Linked DNA regions of Caenorhabditis elegans. The protein of the gene in region 2 interacts with the protein of the main gene of each other region in a pairwise test. Each region holds a gene or a part of one and is shown on either strand. Other genes may lie near its edges.

Region 1 (12,219 bases), on a different chromosome or scaffold from region 2:
ATGGAGCTTGAAGCAAAAGAAGCAAATAATAACAGCAAGAGCAAAAAGAAAATTGATTTGAAATTTGTACCCGAGTTTGGATATACGGAAGAGGTTGTTGCTTCTGAAGTTTTATTAATTTTAATTTGAAAATTTTTAGCAAGAAGATCATATAATCAAGCTACGAGATGAGTTGTTCGATATCAATAGACGGCAGAAAAAACAAAAAGAGGGAGAATCCAACATTGTGGAAACCAAATTTGTGTTTGTTAGCTTCTTCGCTGACGGATCGCATTCCAACATAGTGCGCTTATATAGATGTAAACTGTTTCAATACGAAATTTTTTTCAGCTTCCACTGATTTGCCTCCGAATCAGCGACACCAAGATAATGTACGTTGAATCTACTGGAAGGGCTTACGATGATTGGGAAGATTTTCTGAACAAAAACAAACTGCCAGAATGTAACATTTTGTATCCCGATGGTGGACTTTATGAGGTTCAAAAAAAAATTAAATTAAAAGAAAATCATTTTGTTTTCAGTTGGAACCCGGAGGTATACTTAACTTGCGCTATGACATTTCTAGGAGAAGTAAGCTTCCAAGTAAAATTGCAAAGGTAATTTTTGAGTCAATCTCAGTGTTCTATCTACAAAATAAAATTTTCAGATTAGCGACCGGAGTGCAATGGGTATTGGAGTTGCTGCCACAATTGGCTCAGTAATCGGCCTATTCACTCCTCTTGCTCCAGTCGCTGCAACAACTCTTCTCTACACTGCAATTGGAACTGGAGTTTACTCAATGGCTAGATCCGGCTATCACATTGTTGATCGTGTTATTCATAACGAGAATGTGAACCCCCTTCGGAGTCGAGAGAACTTTGTAGATTGGCTCGCGGTGGCAGCGTCGCTTGCCTCCTTTGGTGCAATTGGTGGATCTGCGGTTCGTTTTTTTTAAATGATTTTCAAACTAGCGTAGTACAACTTTTTTTCAGTACCTCACAGTAATGACTACACAAGGACTTGAAGTCAGTCAAGCCATTGAATATACAGTAAATGCAGCAATTTTCGCAAATTTCGCTGTATCTGGAATTGCCTTGACTGCATCTGGATACAACATTTTTGAGAAGGTATGCCTTTTGCAATTATTCCAAAACATTTCCGAGCTTTTAGGTAGCAAATGGAGAGCGTCCAACCCCGTTGGAACTCTTCCAATTCTCCACCAGTTTACTATTCTTCACAAACGCAGCAGTTAACTTGCAAACTGCTGAAAAGCTAATTCAACAAGTAAGTTTGAATTTTTTATACAGAAAAAGTTCATACGATTTTTCAGACAACTCAAGAAAAAATCAACGATTATCGAGATACCCTGAAGACTGCTGAAGATAAACAACAATTTGATCAAAAAATCAATGAAAACATGAAAAATACTGAAGGTCAACAAGGAAGTAAGCTTGGTTTTCCTGTTAAATCATTGGATTTTTGATTCTATCTTAACATATATTCAGATTCAAAGATGAAGGCAAATTTGGAGACCATTAAAGACATTCACAAGGCTATGCTTGCTGATAAACATGTTGAAGCTCACATTCGTAAGTTGAAATTCAAAAAAAAAAGTTCCATAAAATTTGACAAAACAATCAGATGAACACGACGTTCCAAAAAAATCAAAACCAATGCCATCTTCAAGTGTTCCAAAAATGCAAGCAAAGCAGCTGACAGTTTCCGATAAGAAGATTGTAGAGGAACACTTGCAAGCACTGGATGCCCGAGGTCAATCCAAGTTGCCGGCTAGCAAACAAAAAATTACAACGTACTTGAATGTTGGATGGGATGATATTGCCGCGAAGGTTAAAGCGATTTTGTCCGGAGGCGCCGGTGGGGCTCTGTGAGTGTTTCGTATTTTTTACAAAACTATTATATATGCCTAACTTGTTGCTCGGAAGTTACGCAATCATTCGAATAAAACTGTTGAAAACAAATTCTGCAGGATTACCATTTACTAAAACATTCGGTAACATATTTTCATTATGCACATGCGTTGTTTGTAGATGTTGCGCCTATTTCTTACAGTTTTCGAAAACTTTCTGCTGATATCTTGGAATTGCTAATGCATCTCAGATATAAGATTATTTACTAAAGTAACATCAATTCATAATATTTACACTTTCAGCACCGAAAGGCTCATCGATGGCAAAACCAAAAAAGTGATCACGATGGATAATGGTGATGAAGGATTTATGGGTGCAAAGGTGGAGTCGATACCAAATGGAGTAGCAATACGAAAAGGTGTCATTGATAGAATTGAAATCACATTAAACGATGCAGGTGAACCTATTCCCCATTTTGTGGAAGGAAGTATCCGAACTGGAACAGAACAAGGAGTGGGTTATCGCTTGAAAATTTAGCAAAGAAAAAGTTTAAAACTTTCAGGTTGTGAGAATTCGTCTCGAAAATCGCGGAATCTTGGGAAATATACGTGCAAAACCAAAAGTACGAATGTACAAAGACAATTCGTCAACGGGAGTCGAAATTGATGATCATGAACTATCGGAAAATTATTTTATGTGTTACGATTGGTCATAATATGTGATTTTGGTGCCTGTAGCTCTTTTAAAAATGCGTGTCCTACTAGCTAAATCAATTCGAATAACTGTGGTAATTTTTTTCAGTTAAAAAAATCTGCTGTAATAAACTTGTTCACAAAACATTCCATAGCCGAGAGATTTACATAAATTTTTTGGCAACTTGTATCATTGTCAAAAAAGCGTATTTCATAAAATCACACAGTGTTCGGTGTACGTCTAGATACTGAATTAAAATTCCTGGTCTCTAAAAAAATTCCATGCTTGTATAAACTGTAAGCGGAATCACTTATTTTCACCGACGTTTGCCAAAAGTTTCCAATAGCCGCGCAGCTCTGGTTTTTAGACTATCACAAAAAAATCTGTTAACATTAACAATATGTAGAATCAATAACAATTTTGTTTTAAAAAATCACCACAATAAATTTATATTACAAGTAATGGTCGAGTATAATAAACGGTTTAATTTCACGAAATTTAAATTCTCGGCTTCAAGTACAACGTAACAGCTTCTGGCGATGTAGTTGTGCAACCAAGAATGTTCAACTCTTTCTGAATTTGAGAACTCTTAAATATAAAAAAAAAACGAAGTGTTAACCGTACCTCAGTTTCTACTCCTGCGACTAAATCATATCTTCGAAGCAAATGAGCCAATGCAGTCTTTGCTTCGGAAAGTCCTAAACGCATTCCAACACATTGACGGGGTCCTGCTCCAAACGGTATCCAAGACATGGTATGTCGGGATGAAGGCTCGAGCCATCTGAATTTTTTTGTTTTTTGAAAATAATTAAAATATTTTAGCAGGTTACCTTTCTGGAACAAAATCATCCGCGTTTTCACCCCAGATTTCCTTGCTTCTATGAAGTGACATAACATCTGCTTCAATTTTCACACCCTTATCAATGTAAATATCACCAAGTGTGGTAGGCTTCACGCATTCCCGGGAGCAGGCGCTGAAAGTTCAAAACTATTTGGTTTCCATCTTTTAAAAAAAAAAAATTCCGTGTTTTGTATAGTTTTACTTTATTAACTTTATGATCAAATATTTTTATAAAACTTAATTCAATAAAACCAATTAAAAATGCATTATCAGAAATGCATATTAAGATGGGAAGTGAGATTTTTCTATTGGCTGATTTCCATGTAATGGCTCAATCAAGATCAATCAAGGACAAAATCAATTTAAATTTCAAAGCGGAATAGCACCGGTGGAGATTTTGTCTAAGTACACGTTTTTTTTAATGAAGTTGCCTTTTTTAGTAGACCTCTTTGAAAAAGTTATATTTTGTATTGTCAATCAAAGTTCTTGTGAGTTTCCAAATTTATCTTTTTTTTTTGAAAAATTAAAAAAAGAAATCAGCATATTTGAACCCATAAACTATGAACAAAAAAACTCTTCTCTACATCTAACAGTTTTTCTTGTAGTTCCCACTTATTCAACTCGATAGAAAACTCACAACCAAGCGACTGGATACAATCTTAATGATTCTCTTACAACTGCATCTAAATACTTCAACTTTGTCATATCATCATAGGATACATTTTCAGATCCCACAACGGTATCAACTTCTTCTTGAGCCAATTTCATCTTCTCCGGGTGTTTTGCCAATAAATAAGATGCGTAAGCCAATGAGTTTGCAGTCGTATCAAAACCAGCAAGTAGAAACACGAAACACGCTCCAATAACATCTTCAGCTGTGACCTTTTTCTCTACAGTACTACCAAATTCAATATCTTCAACTTGTTCACTATAATAGTTAAGGAACATATCGATGAAGTCGTTTTCCGCGTTTTCAAATCCAAGTTTTGCATTTTCCTCCTGAAATTTATTTAATTTATTCCTTAAAAAAATAAAAAGATGACTCACTCTTTCTTGAATTCTACTTTCGACAGTTTTTTTGCAAATAAGCAACAATTTTTCAATATCTCCACCCTGGACAGCTGCGTGATTGTAGAACATTCGTTTTACCAAGTGTTCAAATTGAGGAAACAAGACTGTAAAATACCATGGCAGAACTCGGTGTGTCCTCATGAAAATCTATAACAATTATAACTTCGAATACTTTTAATTTTGGAAAAAGACTTACCGATTTAACGATTTCAACTCCAGAATTATTGAAAAGTTCAGAATTTGGTTGCCCCATAGCAAGTCTTGAAATAACATCATACGTGAATTCTTGGAAATATCTGAAAACCGGAAAGATAAAAATTAGAATTGATTCAATTTTCTTACGCGTGAATGTTGAATGGTTTTCCATCTTCGTGTTTTGCCATTAAGTCAACCATGTTGATAGCACTGTCTTCCATAACATCGTGAACCTAAAAAACAACAGGATGGTGATATTTCATCATAGAAGCTATTCTTGTAACTTGTCTAAAAATTCTAGTACGTGAAAATATACCTGCTTTAAAGCTTTCACCGAAAACCCTGGCGATGCCAAAGCTCTCAAGCGCTTCCATCGAGCTCCTCTTGAAGTGAACAAATTTATTCTTGGTTCGGACTTTGAGCATTCCAAGTTTCCATGAATATGATTTGTGGATTTCCTTGCGTAGAAATTGTCGAACTTCTTAAGGAACAATTCTTGTAGCATATCCATGTCGGACACGACTAACACTGGAACAGCCCCCTCGTAGTAGCCAAAAACTTTTCCAAATTTCTAAAAAAAAAAGAAGATTAGGATTAGATACATGAAGACTTATACTAGCATTTCAATTATTTACAACACCTCTGCAAATTGATTTTCTGCAGATGTATTTTTAAAATCACCATGCGTTTTCATCTTCAGGGGAATTATTTCTTCACTAGAATTCCATTTTATACTCATCTTCTCAAACATGGTAGGTGTCTAGGTAGATGTTCAGAAGCTTTTTTTTAAATTCTACAAATACTAGTTGCAAACTGGTGCAGGAAAAAGTAGCAGATAAATATGAACACGCATTTTCCTAGTTCAATGAAATTTGGATTTGGACAACAATCATCATTGAGACCCGTTTTGATTTAAAAACAACTTTTGGTGAAAAACAACGAACCTGTGTCCATTTATGAATAAGATATCCTCTTGGTTTGTTAACATCCGCTAGGTCATAATAATTTCCGATAAAAGGCAGACCTTCCGGTCCACTTATTCCACGTCTTCTCCAGTATGTGTGTATCCATTTGAAGTAACTAAAACGAAAATTTCGTTTAGAATTTGTTATAAAAATTGTCTATTCTATATAAAGTTATAGGAAACATTCGAACGAGTTTCTTTTTTCTAATTTTTTGAGATAAAAATTAATACCCAGCAATAGTAGCAAATAGCACCACCAGCACAATAATAGCTCCCATCGCTACGACGTAGACTGAAGACAATAATTCTGTTAGGGTGATCCGTTATTTATACACCCGTCCCCTCAATAAAGGTCAGCGCCGCCTGTAATATTGTTATCGTCAAGATCAGCAAATTAAACAGGAGGCTACGCGTAAGAAACCAGAAAACGTTAATTGTGGTGGTTGTGTAGCCTAATTATAGTTTTTCCTATCGGGAGGAATATGATAAATGATATTTTGTCCTTTTGCTCACTAAGTTTAATCAATGTTTCAAAACAGCAATGTTGTAGCATTATTTTATGATTTCTGATCAAGTAAAAAGACTTGTTTTCAGTTTTAATTTGCCTCGTGGCTGTGAAATTGAATGTTTTTGCCGTTTTATTGCGCTGGAGGCGTTAAAAGGAATTTTTTGGGAATAACAATGTAAGTTATTAGGTCTCCAAATAAGTTCCGGGTCAAAAATCATAACTTTGTTCGCTGCGTATCGATTTTTATGAAACTTTGGGAATTTATGTTATCAACCATGATCTTTCAATTGACAATAGTCACAAAATTTTTTGACCATAGGAAGTGTCCTAACTCGGAGCCAATTTTTTCAGACATTTTTCTGATCTCGCTTCTTTTCAGCTTTGAATTGAAGTTTGTGTGCAAATTTTGCTTTGTTCAAAATACATCATTAGAAAACGACAAAAGTTTGGAAAAAAATTCGTCCAAAAAATTTTTTTTTGGTTGATCGTCAAAAAATCTTCAAAAAAATTTTTGTCGAAAATTCTCGATTTTTCATACAAAAATGATGTAACCAAGTGTAAATTATTTTTATACATACAAAATATATCAATTTAGTTCGATACACTAAAATGATAATAGAAAATATAATTTTTTCGGATAATTTTTGAGTTTTTTGAATATTTCTTAAGTTTCAAATTTCAAACTAGAGGGATTTGCAACATTTTTTGTATGTTACAACATTTTTGTATGAAAAATCTAGAATTTTCGACAAAAATTTTTTTGAAGCTTTGTTGACGATCAACCAAAAAGAATTTTTTGGACGGATTTTTTTCCAAACTTTTGTCGTTTTCTAATGATGTATTTTAAACAAAGCAAAATCCGCACAAATTTCAAATTTCTTGAGGAACAGTTCTTGTAGAATATCCAAATCGGATACAACTAGCACTGGAACAGCTCCTTCGTAGTAGCCAAAGACTTTCCCAAACGTCTGAAACCCAGGTGGTTAAATAGCAAATAAGATTTTAATGTTCCCTGAGGATTTCAAATGAAGACTACTGAATTTTAAAACAAAATTATGAATCCACAAAAATAAACTTGAAAGCTTTACAAAAATATCGTTTTTGAGCGTTTTTTTTCAATGTTTCTTTAAATGTTTTTTATACATATACTCCATTAAAAACACAAACCTGTGTCCATTTATGAATAAGATATCCTCTTGGCCTGTTAACATCCGCCAGCTCGTAATAATTTCCGATAAAAGGCAAACCTGCCGGTCCACTTATTCCACGTCTTTTCCAGTATGTGTGTATCCATTTGAAGTAACTGAAAAATTTTAAGTGGTTTAAGTTAAATTAAATACATGTATAGTCTAACAATTTTTTCATTTATTTCCCAATTTCAGATATTTGCCTTGCAACAGTGACAAATAGCACAACCAGCACAATAACAGCTCCCATTATTGAAAAGTAACTTTAAGTTCATACCTTTCTTAGAGTGACTCTCTATTTATACTCTCCTTCCTAATAAAGGTCCACGCCTCATACAATAGGGTGATCGCCTAGATCAGCAAATTAGTCAAATGGATAGAAAACTAGACTCTACGTCTATTCGTTTTGAAAACTGTAGTGATTTGTAGTTTAAATGTTGTCAATGCAGACATAGAGAAGTAGTGCGATCTTTCGGACTCTTGTTCAGTGATCTTTATAAATACTACACACCGGCAATAGTGTAGCATTTTTTTATGATTTCTGACGAAGAACGCTTAATATTTGTCAGATGTTTTTGAGTTGATGATTGTGGAATAGAAAGGTTTTGTCACAAAACGGTAATTTTTTATTCATATCTTCTCTTTCTATAAGTTTTGCGTTCCTTTCAGATTTGCACACAAAACGACTAATCGAAAACACATGGCAGTTTCCCACTCATTACTCGCAAGAGACACAGCGAAAATGTTGCACAATTTCAGAAAAACATTTTTTTCGATGTTCTTCTAAAAAGTCACTATTTACGTAATGGTCTATTTACATGTATTCAACCATGTTTTCAAATAATTCCAAAGTTGGTTGCGGGACGTTCCATCCCTTTTACCATTTTATTGAAATGGCTTGATAAAAACAGTAATTAAAAAATATATACAGGCATATTTCGAGTGTTTGCCTACTGCTTTTTTTTTAAATGTCGGTTTTAAGTTTATTAAATTTTACAAAAAAACTGGAGCAAAGCGATACTGTTAATCAGAAAAAAAGCCCAAATGGTTAGTTGATAGAAATTTATTTTTTAACGTCATTCCATAAAATAAACAAAAAAAACAACTTACGGCTAGAATTTTTTTGAAGCACACTGTACATTCATTTCAAAATGTTCTATTAAATGTTTTGCGGACTAAAACTTTATTTTCAGAAAAAACATGTCGACGGTTTTTATCTGTTTTCAGAACAGAAGGATTATCAGAATGGGATTCTATAAAGTGTTGGTAACTTACAGATTACTGACTAGTTACGTTTTTTTATGATGTACATTGTTCAGCAGCTTCTTGTGTTCAATTTGTTTTTGTTTTTATGTTGAATGTAGTTTTCGCCATAAACTACACGGTTTTAATGCAAAATTTATGTTTAAAAAATGTGCATCGCCGTTTTTAAAATAACTGTATCAATTGGAGCACATGTCACTTTTAGATAATTATTGAGCACAGTTGTGTTATCAGTTCATTAGTGGTACATGGTGAATTATTCACATAAAAAGGAGAAACATCATTGTAACTTCAAGCTGAAATCGTGGTAATTTCTTCTGCTGAAAACTATGTCCAATCTTATAATTGACAACTATCCGCTAACAAAAGAATGGCTTGCTGATCTGGTGAAAAAGAAAATTGGTGTTAAGCCAAAAGTTGGATCGGTATGTTTGCTGTTTTTCAAGTCACTTAGAATTTTTTTTTCATAATTGTTATTCAGTGCGGAATTTTGGACAATGCAGATTTGGGATTCATGTCAATGATTCGTAAAGTACAGCTGCATTTTGATGCTGAACAAGAGCTAAAACACCCAAACCTGCCGAAAAATGTAGTGATAAAGGTGAGAGCTAATATTAAAAGCTTGCAAGATAATTTAAAATTAATATAGAAATAGTCAGCTTTTTAGTTTTTTTTTAAATTTATATTGTGTTTCTAATGATTTATGCTGTGCTCTATAATGTTTTTTATGTAATTTAAAAAAATTAAAACTTGAACTATTTCTGCATTTTTGACTTTAAAAAATAATTTCTAAACCTAAAAATAAAAATAGTTCAGTTTAAAAATAGTAGCCAGACGTCGCTAATTTTAGATTGCGAGTTGTGCAAAGCTGGGTGAAGGTGTTGGTAGTGTGGGTGTAGATGTTAACAAAGGCAACGCGGCTGCAATCATGGAACTGTTCATGCACAACACAGAATGCAATTACTATAATGTTTTCAGAAAATGTAAATGCGTTCTGGTTTCGAAAGTATTTACATCAAAATTTTCAGACACTGATCTACCAATGAAAGTTCCCGTAATCTACTGTGCAGCAAAAGCCGGTGACGCAGAAGCTCCTGTACCAGTTATTGTAATGGAAATGTTTGAGGACTGTACTGTTCATGATCTTATAGACGGTTTTGATAAAGATCAGGTAAACCTGAGGGCATAATTTGTTTTATCATTTATGTTCTTATAGCTTTTTAAAATTGTTGATGAAATTGTTAACCTACACATTTTCTCCTTGACAACTGAAGAATGGAGGAGCGTTCTTCCTGATTCTGCGGTAAGTTGAACTTATTGAAAAAGTTTTTTTAGAACTTTTTTATTTAGATGCGTGATACCGTTGATCTTTTCGAGGCGATGGTCAAAACCATTGCAGAGAACATGGCAAAATCGCCTGGCTTAGAAATCATTTCAAAATACATTGAGAAAACTTTTGACAAGGATCCAAGTTTTATGACAAAATTCAGTGATGAATATTTGGAAGGAAGTACGACAATATATTTTTTTTAAAATTTTTTAATTTTTTTCAGAAAGAAAATCCGTCCTGACTCACGGAGATCTATGGTCTCCCCAAATTTTGTGGGATAAGGATGACAATATTGCGGGAATTATTGACTGGCAAGTTGGTCATCAGGGAAGTCCCATGGAAGATCTCCATAGAATTTTGTCGACTGGTACCAGTGTAGAAAATAGGAACAAGTTGACTAAACCACTGTTGGATCATTATTTTGAAAAATTGAGCGCTGGGTTGGAAGAGAAGGGTGTGAAAATGCCATGGACCAGGGAAGAAGTTGATGTAAGTATGTACTTGAGCTGACTAAACTGGATCAGTCGATTTTTAATTTTTATTTTTTGGGCAGTAAGTTATTTTTTTGTTGTAAGACATGGATAAGTATGGAAAATTTAATTAAAAAGAAAAATTCTTCGCGGTTTCCAGTTTGATCAAAATTTGTGATTGACAAAATATGTTACACAATTTATAATTTTTCCAGGAAGAGTACAACCACTGTTTCAGTTATGGTGCATCGATAACTATATTTTCAAATGGAATCTGGTCTAGCTCTCCAATTCTTCAGGTTTTTTTTTTGAAAATTCATCATTAACCATCAATATAAAACAATTCAGACCGATGGAAAACCTGACCCAGCACGTATTAGTGAATCATTTGCGAGATGCCAATCTTATGTTGAGGAAGCTGTTCAAGTACTTGGTGTGGAATAATACATGTACATTGATAATTACTGAAGTATTCACCTTATTTGGAAATTATATATATGAAAAACTTTTTACCTTTTTAAAATATCAGACTACATACAAGTATATGTTTCCAAAAATAGTAGAAATTTCGCTGAATTAATTACATAAGTTAATGTTTCAGTTCAGTTCACCACATTTTGATCAAACGTGTCGTCGGTACACATGATGTCATCACTTAATCACAAACTCCAAATGTGGTGAGAAGGACAAGTACTTTATGATTCTAATTTGACATGGCAGTGCGAAAAAATATTTATTGAAAACAACAAGATCGACTAAAATGTCTGAAACAATTTACAGATTGTTCATAAAAAAATCTCTATCAACTATGTATACTGTTATATCAACAGTAATTTCAATTACCGTTTGTTCAATTTAACCTACAAACTGTGATGTCAGAAACCAGAATTTCTAGATGAAAAAAAAACATATCAATGAATTTTACAGTTTTTCACGTTGGCTGGGAACTGGCCTGGAACATTCGGATGACACTGAATTTTGGTGCACTGTGTTATTTTTTTTAATAATTATTCAAAAAATTTGCCGCCAGCAGGGGTCGAACCTGCGACCTTGGGCTTATTAGACCCACGCTCTAACCGACTGAGCTATGGCGGCTGATGGAAGTGGCACTAGGTTAGGCCACCAAGAAGAATGGGAGACGAGAAAACGGGACAAAATGTGTACTTTGTGGTTTTTCAATAGGGTACATCGTTCTGCAAAAAAGCGGAAATTGATAATGTGAAATTTTGTGATATTAGAATTGTGAAAATTATGCTAAAGTCGCTTATTCCTAGAATATAATCGCTTCACAAGTCATAAAATATTAAATTGCAAAAGCTAGACTGTGCCCAACGTACACTACGAATATTTGTTGTTTACAAAATGCTTATGACATGACCAGCCGGCTTTTGATAAATCTGCTAAAAGGACTTATGAACTTAAACATTGAACACAATCTCAGAGAAATGTAAAAACATGACAAAAAAACAAGTGTACAGTGTTCAAAAGGGATAAAAAATTAAAATTCTTATGTCAAAATGGGCATATTCAGTTTTTTCAAAATTTTGAAGCTATTTGATTTTCATTTCCCACATCGAAAAATTCACAATGCATTAAATTTTTACTTTGATGCAATTTTCTGTGGATCCCTGCCACAGCACACCATACCAATTAGCATACCAAAATGAGATAAATCGAATTCCATATTTTTATCGCACTCAAACTATCAGTGAAAATACAAAAAGTACAATTTATTTTCTTATATTATCTATTGGTGCACACATATACTACAACGAAGTAGGTCACGAGCATCTTCCGAACCAGTATCACTATCTTATCAACTCAGTCCTAGGCTGGTTGTTTTATATAAA
Region 2 (12,219 bases):
TCAAATCCCCATTGACGATAATCCATATTTAATTATTAGAATGTCCTGTTATAATCATAAATCATACCATAGTTTCTTCGAATTTTATTTGTTTACGGCACTTTATAATATTCCCAATTGGTTTTGCAGATTTTCACTGAAAATCATACAACCAGAAAACAGGATTTAACTTTTTCTGTAGTACTGACATAAATATTAATATTTTCAAAAAAAGAACAACATGACAATCATAATTGCAAACAACTTGCATTTTGTTCGAAATTTTCCAAAAGTGTTTCTATCATTTTCCTGAAAAATCAAAGAAAAATCGTCCTTTTACATTCTAATTAATGGTAGCTTTCCACCTTTTTTTCTTTTTTGTTTCTGTTTTCCTTTAGTCACTTCTCTCTCGTCTTATTTTATGACGAATGTCTAGGTTTTTCCAGTTTTTCAGCAGGTTCATTTATGTTATTTTTGAAGGCGATATTATTTTCATGCGAGATCTTCGACCATGAGTTAAATTATTCGTATTATGCTCTGTTATTTTTTGTTTTTGTTTTGTAGAAATTCATCGAAGGGTCAACTATTACTGTATAGCGTGTTCCTTTTTTCATGAGAATTGCCGGCAAATTATCCGGCAATTATTTTTATTTTCCGGCAATTTTTGAAACTGTTGTTTTCGTTTCTGTGAGTTGTACCTATAAGTTCAAGAAATTCAAATAGTTGTCATTTTCTAAACTCAATCCCCGTGTTCGTCTGAAAATAAAAAACAATCTGTTGCTTTCTTATTTCGCGAACATAAACGTTTTCTTGTCCGACGTCCAACTTTTGTCCTTCATGTTTTCTATTTTGCTTTCAGGGGTTTAGTGAAGTGACCACTGATTGAATTAATAAAATGAGGAAGTGTAAAAAGATCCCATCTCTAGATTTATCGTATTTATCACATCATTCATGTATCTTTAAAGGTCCTTGGACTTCCTGGGCTTCCTGGACTGGACATTGTAACATCTAAATTTGATACATTTGAATTAAAGCTTATAGGCACCAAAAATTATCAATCTCGTTTTCTTTTCATGAAAAAATTACTACAGCATAATTTTGCAGCACAGCTAACAATCAACAAATTATGATATACAAACTGTATACTAACTTGTAGAAATCTTCCCACATAAAACAATAATGCATTTTCAAAAGTTTTGATGCCTGCAGAATAGAGTTCGCTATTTCTACCTATTGCTCTGATCTCTTCTTATCACGTCTTTATTATGATTTTAAGTGTTCTGTCTGGCGTTCCAACGACAGAGCCCTTAAATTTATTTATCTTAAGAATTATATTCTTTTTTAGATATTTCTAGAAAACTCTATTTTTTTTGTTGATATCCTGAACGCGAGTTCAACAATTGGAAATATATTTTGTTGTACTTGATCTTGAACTGACTTGTAAATTACTATATTTCTAAAGATGTAATTTTTTAAACCATCAAAACAAATGCTTTGAAAGTCTAAGTAGTGTACTAAAGAATGAATCTGAGCAAAAACAATATGCGAGTTCTTTTTCTTCTGCGTTGCAGATTTTTTTTTCGAATTGAAAATTCTTCACACGCAGCGAGAGAGAAAGTTACGTCATCGTAAATACGGAAATCCAATTGAAAATCTTCTGTGAACACTATTTTTCTTCATTTTCCTTAATTTTATTCAGTTGGTCATAAACCTTACCTACCATAACCTTTTTATGATGCTCTTTTTCTTCGGATCGTGAATTTCTGAAAAGTGGTAGCTAAAGTGGTATGTCGTTTTATAGGTTTAGTTTAAGGGTGAACACAACCCATAACAACACTCAAACCACCTGGCTTTTTGAAAAACGGAAAAGCCGGATGGGAGAAGAAGTTTTGGAATTTTTTGCATTCTCCTCGATTTTCGCTATTTTGAGTTATTTTCATGTCCATTTTATTTTTTGATCATTCTTGGAATTATTATGGTTGAATTCTTCACAAAATAGAACCTTTTTCTCAAACATCACGTTTATTAGGTATCCTTAAATCAAAGGTGTGGGGCTATTTTGGTTCGGCCAATGAATTTTCGGCAACTCCGGAAATTATCTATCTAGCTCTAAATTATCTGAAAAGCTCACAAACCTATTTGATAGCTAGGTAAAAGCTCTCAACTTCAAAGGTAGATTTTAATTTAATTTTTTTTTAATGCAGTCTAGGTAATGCGCTAAAATCAAAAATATACCCTACCCTAGATCTAATTAACCTTTTAGTACTTTCACGTTCTAATTTATATTCCTAATTGTAAGTAAAACATTATATTACTTAAAACACCCACAAATTATAAATTGTCAAGTTTTTAGTCTTGTATTGGCAGACGGAAACGTTTTTAAACCTGTCTTTCACTGCAAACTAAACTTTTCAAAACTTTTATCCGACACTCGCAGTCTTTTTTTTCTAGATGAGCTTTTTCACTCAGTGTTTACGGTTTATACGCCTTGTTCTCTCAAGGATAAATACACACAGCTAAACCACAATTTTGCGTAGAGAGCGGAGCACATGTGAATCTAAACGAAGAGGCACAAAAATGTGAAAAGGAACAGAGATTCTTTTTTTTGTTTTCACTTTGAACACGCTGCAATTTTTGTGTCAATTCATTTCAGTCATCTACAATTTGTATTCTTTCTTCCCAGGATTGGGATTTGCTTCCGATAGTTTTCTTACTTCTGCGAAATTTCAGCAAATATTCTTAATTTTTGACGTAATAAATCAGAAAATCTAGATTTCAGGACACAATGCATTTCTTATTCTCTAATACATAATGTTTTATCACCTGAAACACCCACAGCATTGTCAATGTGTTCTGAATAGGATTTGTTGTGAATGTGAACTTCATTTGACTCACAAATTGGAACATTTCAGAAATCTTGTGATATGAGTCAAAATATTAACCATTTTCTGACATGCCTGAAATTAGAGAATTCTGAATTCGACTGTTATTGTGACTTCTGAAAATTGCTTACTTTATAACTTTCAGGAGTCAAACCGTGGGGCTTTCATATGAGGTCTGAATACTGATTTTTTTTGGTCTGAATATAATTATTGTTTTGAAAAATGAAAAAATGATATGTACAATGTTTCTTGTTGGAAACTCAAACTCACTTCAATACAAGAATCATGTTTTTTGTTACGATCATTACATTTTCGAATTTAAGATAGGAGTTTTCAATGTTCAAAAATGAAAATCTAGTAATTTCAAATTTAAGGTAGACTTTCAAGTTGGTGATTTTCAGTAGTCTTACACCTAAATATATTCATTGTATCAAATGCCCTCCTCTTTAAAAAAAATATGATAAGTTGTTCTTCAATCGTACATTTCTTACGTATGTATTCTGTTGCACTAGATTCCAATTTTAGATAAGTAAATATATTTGGAAAATGCGGAAAAGTTTTGTCGTAAAGTCACGTCTCTTATGTGACGTGTTCCACCCATCATTGTTCCAGAAGTATGCACACATTGCAACCTCTTCTTCTTCTCTTGTGCTCTCAATTCAATTAGATCATGTTTGATTGGAAGAGCCCACCCATTTGTTTTCCTTGCTTTTCTACTTCTTGAACACCAGGATTGAGAATGGAATATTTTAACCTCACAATTAGTTCGATTTTAAAAATAGATATTTTTAATAACAAAGAAAGTTTTGAAAAATTCAAAAACAAATCCGGTCTTGAAAAATTCAAATTTCAGATCTGAAGTATTAAATATTGTTTTTTTTAAATATTCATTCACTTCTTTCTTTTTCAAGACTACTTCCTGATTCAATTATTCTATTTGAAAAAGTCTGGCTTCTTCATGAAATTCGCATAATTAGTAAAAAATAAGTGCAAAGACTTAGTGGACAGAAAATAAAAACTATTTATCCACGTTTTTTGCATTCTTAGACTGGAGTGAATCTTCTATGGGCCCGTTCATTTTCTTGTTTTGACCCATTTTTCTCGTTCTCGTCCTCTCACGGAAGATTGTCGTGGAGACCTTCTATAAAAAATGGCAACCAATTTTTTGTGTTTTTTTGGTTCTGCCTAGTTCTTTTATATCTCAAGAATGCTCCATAAAAATACTTTGTAGTTCTTCCAGATTTTAGATAATTTCAGACAAATTTCCTCCGAAACTTTCTCAAAGCAAAACTTCCTCATAGAATGAACTTATTGAAACTGTCTAGAACTTACTGAGAATTCCCATAATCCCTCAATGAGAACAAACATGCTCCTCAAATTTCCATCTGAAATGTTGGATCCCACGCAATAAATATTCAAAAACTATATCGGCAAAGTTCACGAACAGTGTGCATTTGTGCATTCATAAGTGCATTTTGGTGGTGCAAAAAAGTGTTTGTTTTTGTCAATAAAGTTTGTTTTTGTAACTAAAGTGTATTTGCATTCCAAGCACTCAATGGTTTTCTCTTGCGTAATAGTACTCACTTCTCATCTTTTTCTACTTAATCAAAGAAAGACCGAACAATCATTTTACATTCAAAGATCATTTTTTCTTGTTCTCGGTTTGTGGATTTTTGATGATTGTTACGTGGATAATTACCCAAATCTAGGAAAAACTGGAAATATATTCATTTCAACTGACCATATCTATCACATTGTGACACTTTTCCCGATGCATCTTCTATTTTTAGGGTAGTTACAGAATCTAGGTTTAGAAGTTGACTAGTCTCATTCTTCCTAGACAAATTCAATACAGTCTATACAAATATATTTTTTTAACTGCCCATAAGTTATCAGCCGAAATAAAATTGGAACCCCCCCCCCCCTTAAGAGTTCTGCAGATAGAATCCCAACTTTAATAATTTATTGTTGACTCTGAAGCTGATTTTTGATAAATTACTTGTCCTATAGCACTCATTAGGGTTTGAAAGTACAATTAGCCTTAATAAATAATATATCATACCGCGGAAGTGTTTTTCATGAATTGTCTTCTGATCGTATTATTTGCTTACACGACAGGAGCAACAAATAGTTGTCGTCGCAGTGCCCTTTCTTCCCATTGGAGTGTAAGATTTTCTCACCTTTTTTGTAAAACAGATTTTATAGTTGATAAAAATTGTGTTATTATAAGCTGAATATTCTTATTTACATTTGTTAGCATAAATTCATAATTTTTATAATTTTCAGAGTGGCATGTCATTGGACGATGAGTTCAATAAATGTCAAGAAATCGAGTTTACACACGCACAGTTCCTATTTCGATCGTACCTTTTTCCATTTGTCTATTTATTTGGAATCATATCAAACTCCATTAACATATGTGTCTTCTCACAGAAATCTGTAAGTTTCAATTTAATAAGATTAAATATGAAATTTTTTTTTTTATAACTTTCAGATGCGGAATCATACAGTTAATTGGTTTTTCCTAGCACTTTCCTTCTCCGACCTTTTGACACTTGTCGCATCAATCTTCGTGTTCTCAGTTCCAGTTTATGCTGAAAACTCCCACAATCCAGAGTACATCGACTTATCTGTTCAATTGATTGTATGGTTCTACCCACTTGCACAAATTGGACTGACAATGTCTGTTTATGTTACAATTCTTGTTTCAGTACATAGATATCTTGGAGTTTGTCACCCTTTTTTGGTAAGTTCCAAAAAAACAAAGTTGTAAAACAAGTATATATTTGCAGATCCGTCGAATCTCCAATTCAAATGCAGTGAAAGCAGTTATAGTGGCTGCAATTGTTTTTGCATTTGTATTCAATGCGAGTAGATGGTTTGAACTTCATGCTCAGCCATGTTCATTTGGAACTGAAGGACAGACGTACGTGATAATGATTTCTAAGATTTGTCTTCATATTATTTAATTTTCCAGAAACTCGTCTGTTGTTTATCCAACATCTCTGATGATGAATCGTATGTATACTCTTATTTTCCGAAATGCAGCTTATACAATTGTCATGTTCTTCCTACCATTTGCTATTTTAACTTATGTTAATCTTCGAATAATTGCAACACTCAAACAGTCATATAAGTAAGTTACAATTTTTCACAGTTTCAAAACTGATATACCAAATAATCAAAGTTTATCAAATCAAGTAACTGTTCCATGTGGAGTCAGAAAGTCCCATTTCGCTTTGATCTACGAAAAATGCGGGGGGAAGAGACGCAGATATCTCAACTGATTTCGCATGGTTAAGTGTGCTGACGTCACAATTTTTCTGGGAAAAAATTCCCGCATTTTTTGTAGATCAAACCGCGATGAGACTTTCTGACATCGCGTGCTGTTCGCTGAATTAATTTGAAATAATTTTCAGAATGAGAAAAGCGATGACAACATCTCGATCAAAAAGAAGTGATTCTACAGTACCCACTGACACAATCGTTACAAAAATTGATGGATATTCGGCAGTTGTTCCAGTTGAAAACGGAGAAAAAGGAAATGGAATTCTCATGGGTGGAGCTAACAATGGAAGTGTGAAAAATGACAAAAAAGAAAATGGAGTGACTGTAATGCTTGTGGCAATCACAACCGAATTTTTACTCTTCAACCTGATTGCATTTGCCACAAATATTATTGAATTATCAAGTATCAGATTTTTCGCTGATCTAGAAACTCTATTGGTGGAGGTTAGTTACTGGATATAATTTCGAACAACTGTAAAAAATCAAAAAAAATCTTGATGTTTTCAGCTATCAACATTTCTGGTGAACGTCAACGGGGCGTCGACAATTATAATTTATTTAATTTTTGGAAGCAAGTATCGCAATGTGTTCATTCGACTTTTTCGAAAAAATTTGGGGCACAATTTTTGTGGTAAATCCCCAAAACGTCCGATTGGGTATTCTCAAGCTCATTTCGAGACAACTCAACTTCTGGATAATTCCAGATTTGATTTAAATAGAAGCAAGGTGAGAATTCTGAAAATATGCTAACTTTACAATAATATTTTCAATGTTCCAGCAAGCGAGCGTTATTCGAAAATCCGATCTTTCACCTTCCACTCGATCATCTTCCTCGAGAAGACCAACGAATTCATGAAAGTTCGAAACATTCTTAAATATTTGTGCTCTCTAAACCTTTCAAATTACGGGTATTCTCTATCGGGTTAATATATTTTTCAAGTAAACCTTCCCTTCTCTTTGAACTAATTAACATAAAGTTTTCAACATATATTTATGATTGAAAAAAATTGAAATAAACATATGACATTATAGTTATATTTCCATCGCTCTTTGAATCTTGGTGGCTTGGTTTTGAGCTCGGATTCTGAAAAATGTTATTAGATTCATGATTAAAACTGAAACAAAAAACCTTTTCGCATTGATCCCGATTCCAACTCCTCGGTTTTTGAAGCTTCTCCACGCTGTTTGACGCTGTTCGAAGGTCCTGAAAATAAACAAACTTGTAAACTTAACAAAAACCATGTTCAAAATTACCATTTCTTTCCGCTATCCAGCTCATCCAGGGGAGCAAGACTCGAATCGTTCGAGAACTTCTCGCAGAGGAATGCGTATCTGGAAATCGTTCATATAATTAAAGCCATGTACTACTTTAAACATACGAGCCAGGTGAATTGGTGGCCAGGAAGAGTTCCTTCTTGTTTTTCGACCATTCGATGTCGAACTGGTACGTGGCCATGAGAGTTCCCAACGCTTTCTCAAGATATCTGAACTCGTCCTCCTCGATTGCAACACGATCTCTTCGAACTATTGTAATGACATCTGGACGGAATCCTTTGGAATCATCACCGGTCAGGTAGCAGCAGCCAACATCCATAAGTTGGAAGGGGAGACGGTTGAGAATCGGAGCTTCAAGATATTGATAGATTCTATCAAAATCCAAGATTTCGTTCTTGAAGTTGTTCCTGAAATTTAAAAAAAATCCAAAATTTTACATCACTCTTCGAAAAACTCCAAATGAAAGTTACTGTAGTTTGTTTTTTTTTTCAAAAATTTTTATGTTTCAGAATTCCTTGAATTTTCCAAATGTTTAAAATTAACCAAGATCTCTTGCAAGAAGATTTTCGAATTTCCATAAGCTCCCAGTAACTTTTTTCGGTTTTTCAGTAAATTCCAAAAGTTTCTCAAAGTTTTTAGAACTTGTCAGTTTTTCAGACGTTGTTCGAATTTTTACAGAACTTTTCAGAAGCTTTCTGGCCGATTCCCTACTATCACCAATCAAATATTCCTCTAAAAGACAAAAATCAATTTTTCCCGAAGCTACAGTAGTCCTACAGTACTACTTCTACAGTCTACCCCGACCATATCCACCTTATAAGATCAAACCAGCATTCTTTAATAAGACAAAAACTCATTTTTACAAAACTACAGTAATCCTACAGTACTTCTGTCAACGAAAACATGTCGTGTTATCGACTTTTTTGTTTAGGCTTTAAAAAAATTTTTAAGATTTTTTTTAAATTTTTCCGCCCAAATATTTCAAGGTCACAATTGTTTTTTTAATGCTTTATTATAATTTTTAAAAATACTCACCTTCTATTAATATAAATGTGAGCAAGCTTCAAGAAGACTTCTCCGGTGACATAACTATCGAATCCAGCATTATGGTACACGTTCTCTGATTCATCTTCGAGTGGGTTCATCCATGGCTCAATAAACCCACGAAGCTCGGGCGGAACAGTTTTATCGGACTTATCGGAACCGAAATAATCACCGAGATTCTCCAAAGAATCACCGACTCCAGGCAATTCGAAACGAAGAGCTTGAGCAAGAAGCTTCGTGTCCATAATTCTCGGAAACAGTGCATTGAATTTATCTTTGAACATCTGATAATTTGCAGGAAGATGCGAGAAGAAATAATGATACATATACATGGCATCAAGAAGACTGTTGTGGCCAACGACGAGTTTTCCAGTCATATGAACAACTTGCAAGATTGCTGAAACTCCTTTAACTGATTCTGAACAGCGAGCTCTAGCTCTTTCCAGATTGTCCTTTTCCTTGAGGTAATCGTCGGAGATATTTTTCACATGCAAATTTTGTTGTTTTTCGTCACAAGTGAACAGAAATTGCGGGAACGCTTTCGTTAGCTCGTAGATTATCATGTACTTCTCGACACTGCTCAAGTTCCGTGGCATTCGAAGCGAAACAGACGAATTTGGTTTCATTTTCAGTGGAATCTTTTGCATTGGCTCATCGGTACGGTGTGTAATATGATAAGAAGTGGATTGATAGCATTTCTCGTGAACCATGACTTTGAGAAGTTCGATTTGAGATTTGACTTCTCTGCTGAGATAGCTGAAAAATGGATAAATTTATGAAATATACTGAAGAAAATAATCGCCACCTTGCGGCAGTTCCAGCTAAAAGTGCACGTTCGAACTTCTTAAACTCTTTCCTAGTGCAGAACTCCACGCCGTCCATGAAGACTTGATTGAGATTAAACTTGTTCTTGACCAGGAAGCGCATCGACGGCAACGAGATGCTTGTATCATTATCACCAAACCGTTGAAACAGCGGAACTGAGTAAGTGTCGGCTTTGTATCTGTAATAATAAAATTTAATACATTTTTGTCCTTATTCATTATTTATATGAGTTAATAAAAAATAAAAATTTGGAATCTAGCAGAAAATCTTTAATTTCTAATTATTTGTAATCTCAATTATCTCAAGACAGGGGAAACATATCTGAATGACAGCAACTCTCTCCTTCTGAAACTTTAAAACAATTTTACTCACGCTCGATTTGACTTCTGCTTGAATAAGGTCAGTCCTAGCTGGCATGGACGATACTTGATGACATTGTCACGAAGAATTTGATAGCGACTTTCAACAGTGTCATGAAGAGAAATGGCCGACACATCGAGACCGAGAAATTCGAAGTCGATGGCGACAAAATCACAGTAGAGAAGTCCTTTGCGCAAAGTACCTGCAGCATCCAGGAAGTTTGAGTCGGTGACGATAACCATCCTGCAAAATAAAATAATTAAAAATGACAACGACGTCGATAAAGCGATGAGAAGAGAAATAGATTCGCAAGGTAGATTCAAAAATTGTAAAACTTGCGTTAGGGTTAGGTAAGCAAAATGATTTTCAAAAATCATATATCGATTGATAGAAAATAATATTTCAAAATTTTGTGAGATGGTGCAAAAATAGGGTAATTAAATATGCTGACACGTCTTTTCTGAATTTCTTGTCTTTCAGTACACGAATTTTCTTTGCGGTGCTTTCTGAAATTTGTTTTAATAAAAATTAACATTAGAAAAAATGCGGCTGTGAAAAATCAGGGAGGATATTTATTCCCTATTGATCCCAAACACTTGACTCTTGGGAATAAATTGGAACTTTCCCTCATATTTTATTGTGTTTAATAAAACTGTGGATATGTAATATGACAGCGGTGTACCACATTCATATGAATTCATCCCATACGTGGTATGCTAACCCAGATTACTGTACTTGTTCGTCCAATTCGACCGCTCAACTTTCTTGGTTAAAACGGATACGTGTAGACCGAGTTGATGTGTTCGAATTGACAAATTAACTTTTCGGGTTTTAAACTCGGCTTTCATCAAATCTTCGAAGCTACTCCATTTGTTCCGAACCTAGTGTGCATGAGCGATGAAGCGGAACGATGAATTAAATGGCTCATTTGTGTTCAACTATAGTACCTAACCCAAGAGCATGCAAAACATCCCAGTTTATCTAGAACATAAATGTAGTCCATATAAATCTATCTCTCCGTATTCCTTTTTCATTTTTCATATCTGCATATTTTTATACACACATGGCGAGCCTACGTGTGAGGGTATGGCTCAGATGGACGAGGAAGAACAGTAGAAGCAGGAGAAGAAAAAGGCGAAAAGAAGAAGAAGAGGCGCTGTCTCTATTTTCCTCAGCCGCCTTTTTCTTCATTTCTTTTCTCTTTTCTCCATCTTTTCTCCCGGTTTTCAGACGCATCTAAATTGGTTTGTTGTAGCTTGTTGTGCCTGTCGTCCTTGCACAAAATATTCCCAAATATTCACATACACATTCACTCACCTGCACAATTATTCCTCTCGATGAAGAGATTCGTAGAACTTTTTGAGAGTGAGTCATTCTAGATGTTATTTAGGAGCAAAAATATAAAATCTCCTCATTAATCAAACAAAATTCAGTTGTCGCTTCTTACGCTGACATTGGAACAGATGTGCCCGACGAAAAACCATTACTTCCAATGGAAACTGTTTTTCTAGCAATTCTTCTTATAATCTTCTACTATAAGCTTTTTATCGTAAGTAATTTGAAAAGAAAAGAACGTTTTGATAAAATAATCGATGTTCAGACTATCGGCTGCTCAATTTTCGAATGGATTTACTCGACGGAACTACAAAATCAATTCTCAAAAACCCTGGCTCTTGAAGATGATGATTTTCAACAGCCAGAGTTCATACGACACGTGAAAAAATCGAATTGTTCCCGAAAGTAGACAAGTAATTGTTGAAGATCCCGATTTTTGTCCGGGAGAATGAATAATTCTAAGAATTATTCAAAAACATACACTTTATGGGTCAAATAAACTGTTTTGTTTTAAAATAATAAAAAAATCAAGCAAAATATGAAAAGAAAATAAGAAAAACAACGAAAAACAAGATCTGATCGAGAGAAAGAAAACGAGAGGAAGTACTGTGTCAAAGGGACATATCCTTATGTATATGATTGGTCTCACCACGATTTCAGCTGCTACGGTAGATTGTTTTCGAATTTTAATTGATTTTTGCTTTTTTTTTTCATTTTTTTAATACTTATTTTTACAGAATTGCGATGTTTTTTTTTTACTTCCAGAGTTTTTTTTTCTCAAACAGTAAAATATTTAATACAAAGCATTCTGTGTTTATTTGAAGAATTCGCAATAATCTTGCGGGAGTACTGGGCCTCTGTGCAGTAATATAATTTTTTAAATTTTTATGTAAAGAAAAATACGTTTTTTAAAAATAAATTTACTGGGAAAAAATTCGATTTCCGAAATTCTCGATCCAAAAAATGTAAAACTAAGATTGACAATGGCTACTTTAATTATTCTTTTGAGTTCTCCGAGATAATTTTAACAGTTTTTACATCAATTCATTTGAAATTATATTATTTCGACTATCATGTATATTTTTAATTTCATTTTTTTTCGTTCAAATTCAGAAAATGTTCGCTAAAAGTCTGCCTCTTTTCTTCTAATTTTGCCCAAAGAAACAATGTTGGAAACGCGCTCCACGGAACATTATTCCTTCCATTTGTTTTGTTTGTGATCATGAGATGC

Evidence for each region.
Region 1: the proteins of parn-1 (region 2) and cyp-13B1 interact in a two-hybrid assay, tested with the Caenorhabditis elegans proteins (one large-scale study listed by BioGRID).

Annotation. Positions count from the first base shown.
Region 1 is NC_003284.9:13,403,730-13,415,948, forward strand, and holds cyp-13B1 (Putative cytochrome P450 cyp-13B1), read right to left. Parts: upstream 5,915-12,219; 5' UTR 5,890-5,914; coding exon 5,843-5,889; intron 5,728-5,842; coding exon 5,592-5,727; intron 5,219-5,591; coding exon 4,964-5,218; intron 4,881-4,963; coding exon 4,795-4,880; intron 4,749-4,794; coding exon 4,649-4,748; intron 4,600-4,648; coding exon 4,429-4,599; intron 4,381-4,428; coding exon 4,019-4,380; intron 3,515-4,018; coding exon 3,371-3,514; intron 3,322-3,370; coding exon 3,165-3,321; intron 3,114-3,164; coding exon 3,039-3,113; 3' UTR 2,945-3,038; downstream 1-2,944. Other genes in the region: F02C12.1 (ZZ-type domain-containing protein), read left to right, coding at 1-93, 140-283, 331-477, 522-596, 647-919, 972-1,106, 1,150-1,263, 1,310-1,424 and 4 more; C29F7.1 (CHK kinase-like domain-containing protein), read left to right, coding at 8,899-8,994, 9,051-9,170, 9,420-9,552, 9,598-9,740, 9,786-9,872, 9,920-10,079, 10,123-10,388, 10,585-10,668 and 1 more. UniProt on the Caenorhabditis elegans protein: Cytochromes P450 are a group of heme-thiolate monooxygenases. They oxidize a variety of structurally unrelated compounds, including steroids, fatty acids, and xenobiotics. May play a role in the regulation of lifespan.
Region 2 is NC_003283.11:12,685,360-12,697,578, forward strand, and holds parn-1 (3'-5' exoribonuclease parn-1), read right to left. Parts: upstream 9,897-12,219; 5' UTR 9,896-9,896; coding exon 9,666-9,895; intron 9,472-9,665; coding exon 9,274-9,471; intron 9,225-9,273; coding exon 8,460-9,224; intron 7,832-8,459; coding exon 7,529-7,831; intron 7,482-7,528; coding exon 7,404-7,481; intron 7,354-7,403; coding exon 7,279-7,353; intron 7,234-7,278; coding exon 7,182-7,233; 3' UTR 7,127-7,181; downstream 1-7,126. Other genes in the region: frpr-15 (G-protein coupled receptors family 1 profile domain-containing protein), read left to right, coding at 5,148-5,300, 5,356-5,607, 5,654-5,787, 5,839-5,997, 6,281-6,593, 6,657-6,875, 6,928-7,005; K10C8.4 (uncharacterized protein), read left to right, coding at 10,991-11,018, 11,087-11,202, 11,254-11,397. UniProt on the Caenorhabditis elegans protein: Involved in transcriptome surveillance. Required for piwi-interacting RNAs (piRNAs) 3'-end trimming, which is important for both fertility and piRNA-directed gene silencing. Has 3' to 5' exonuclease activity in vitro.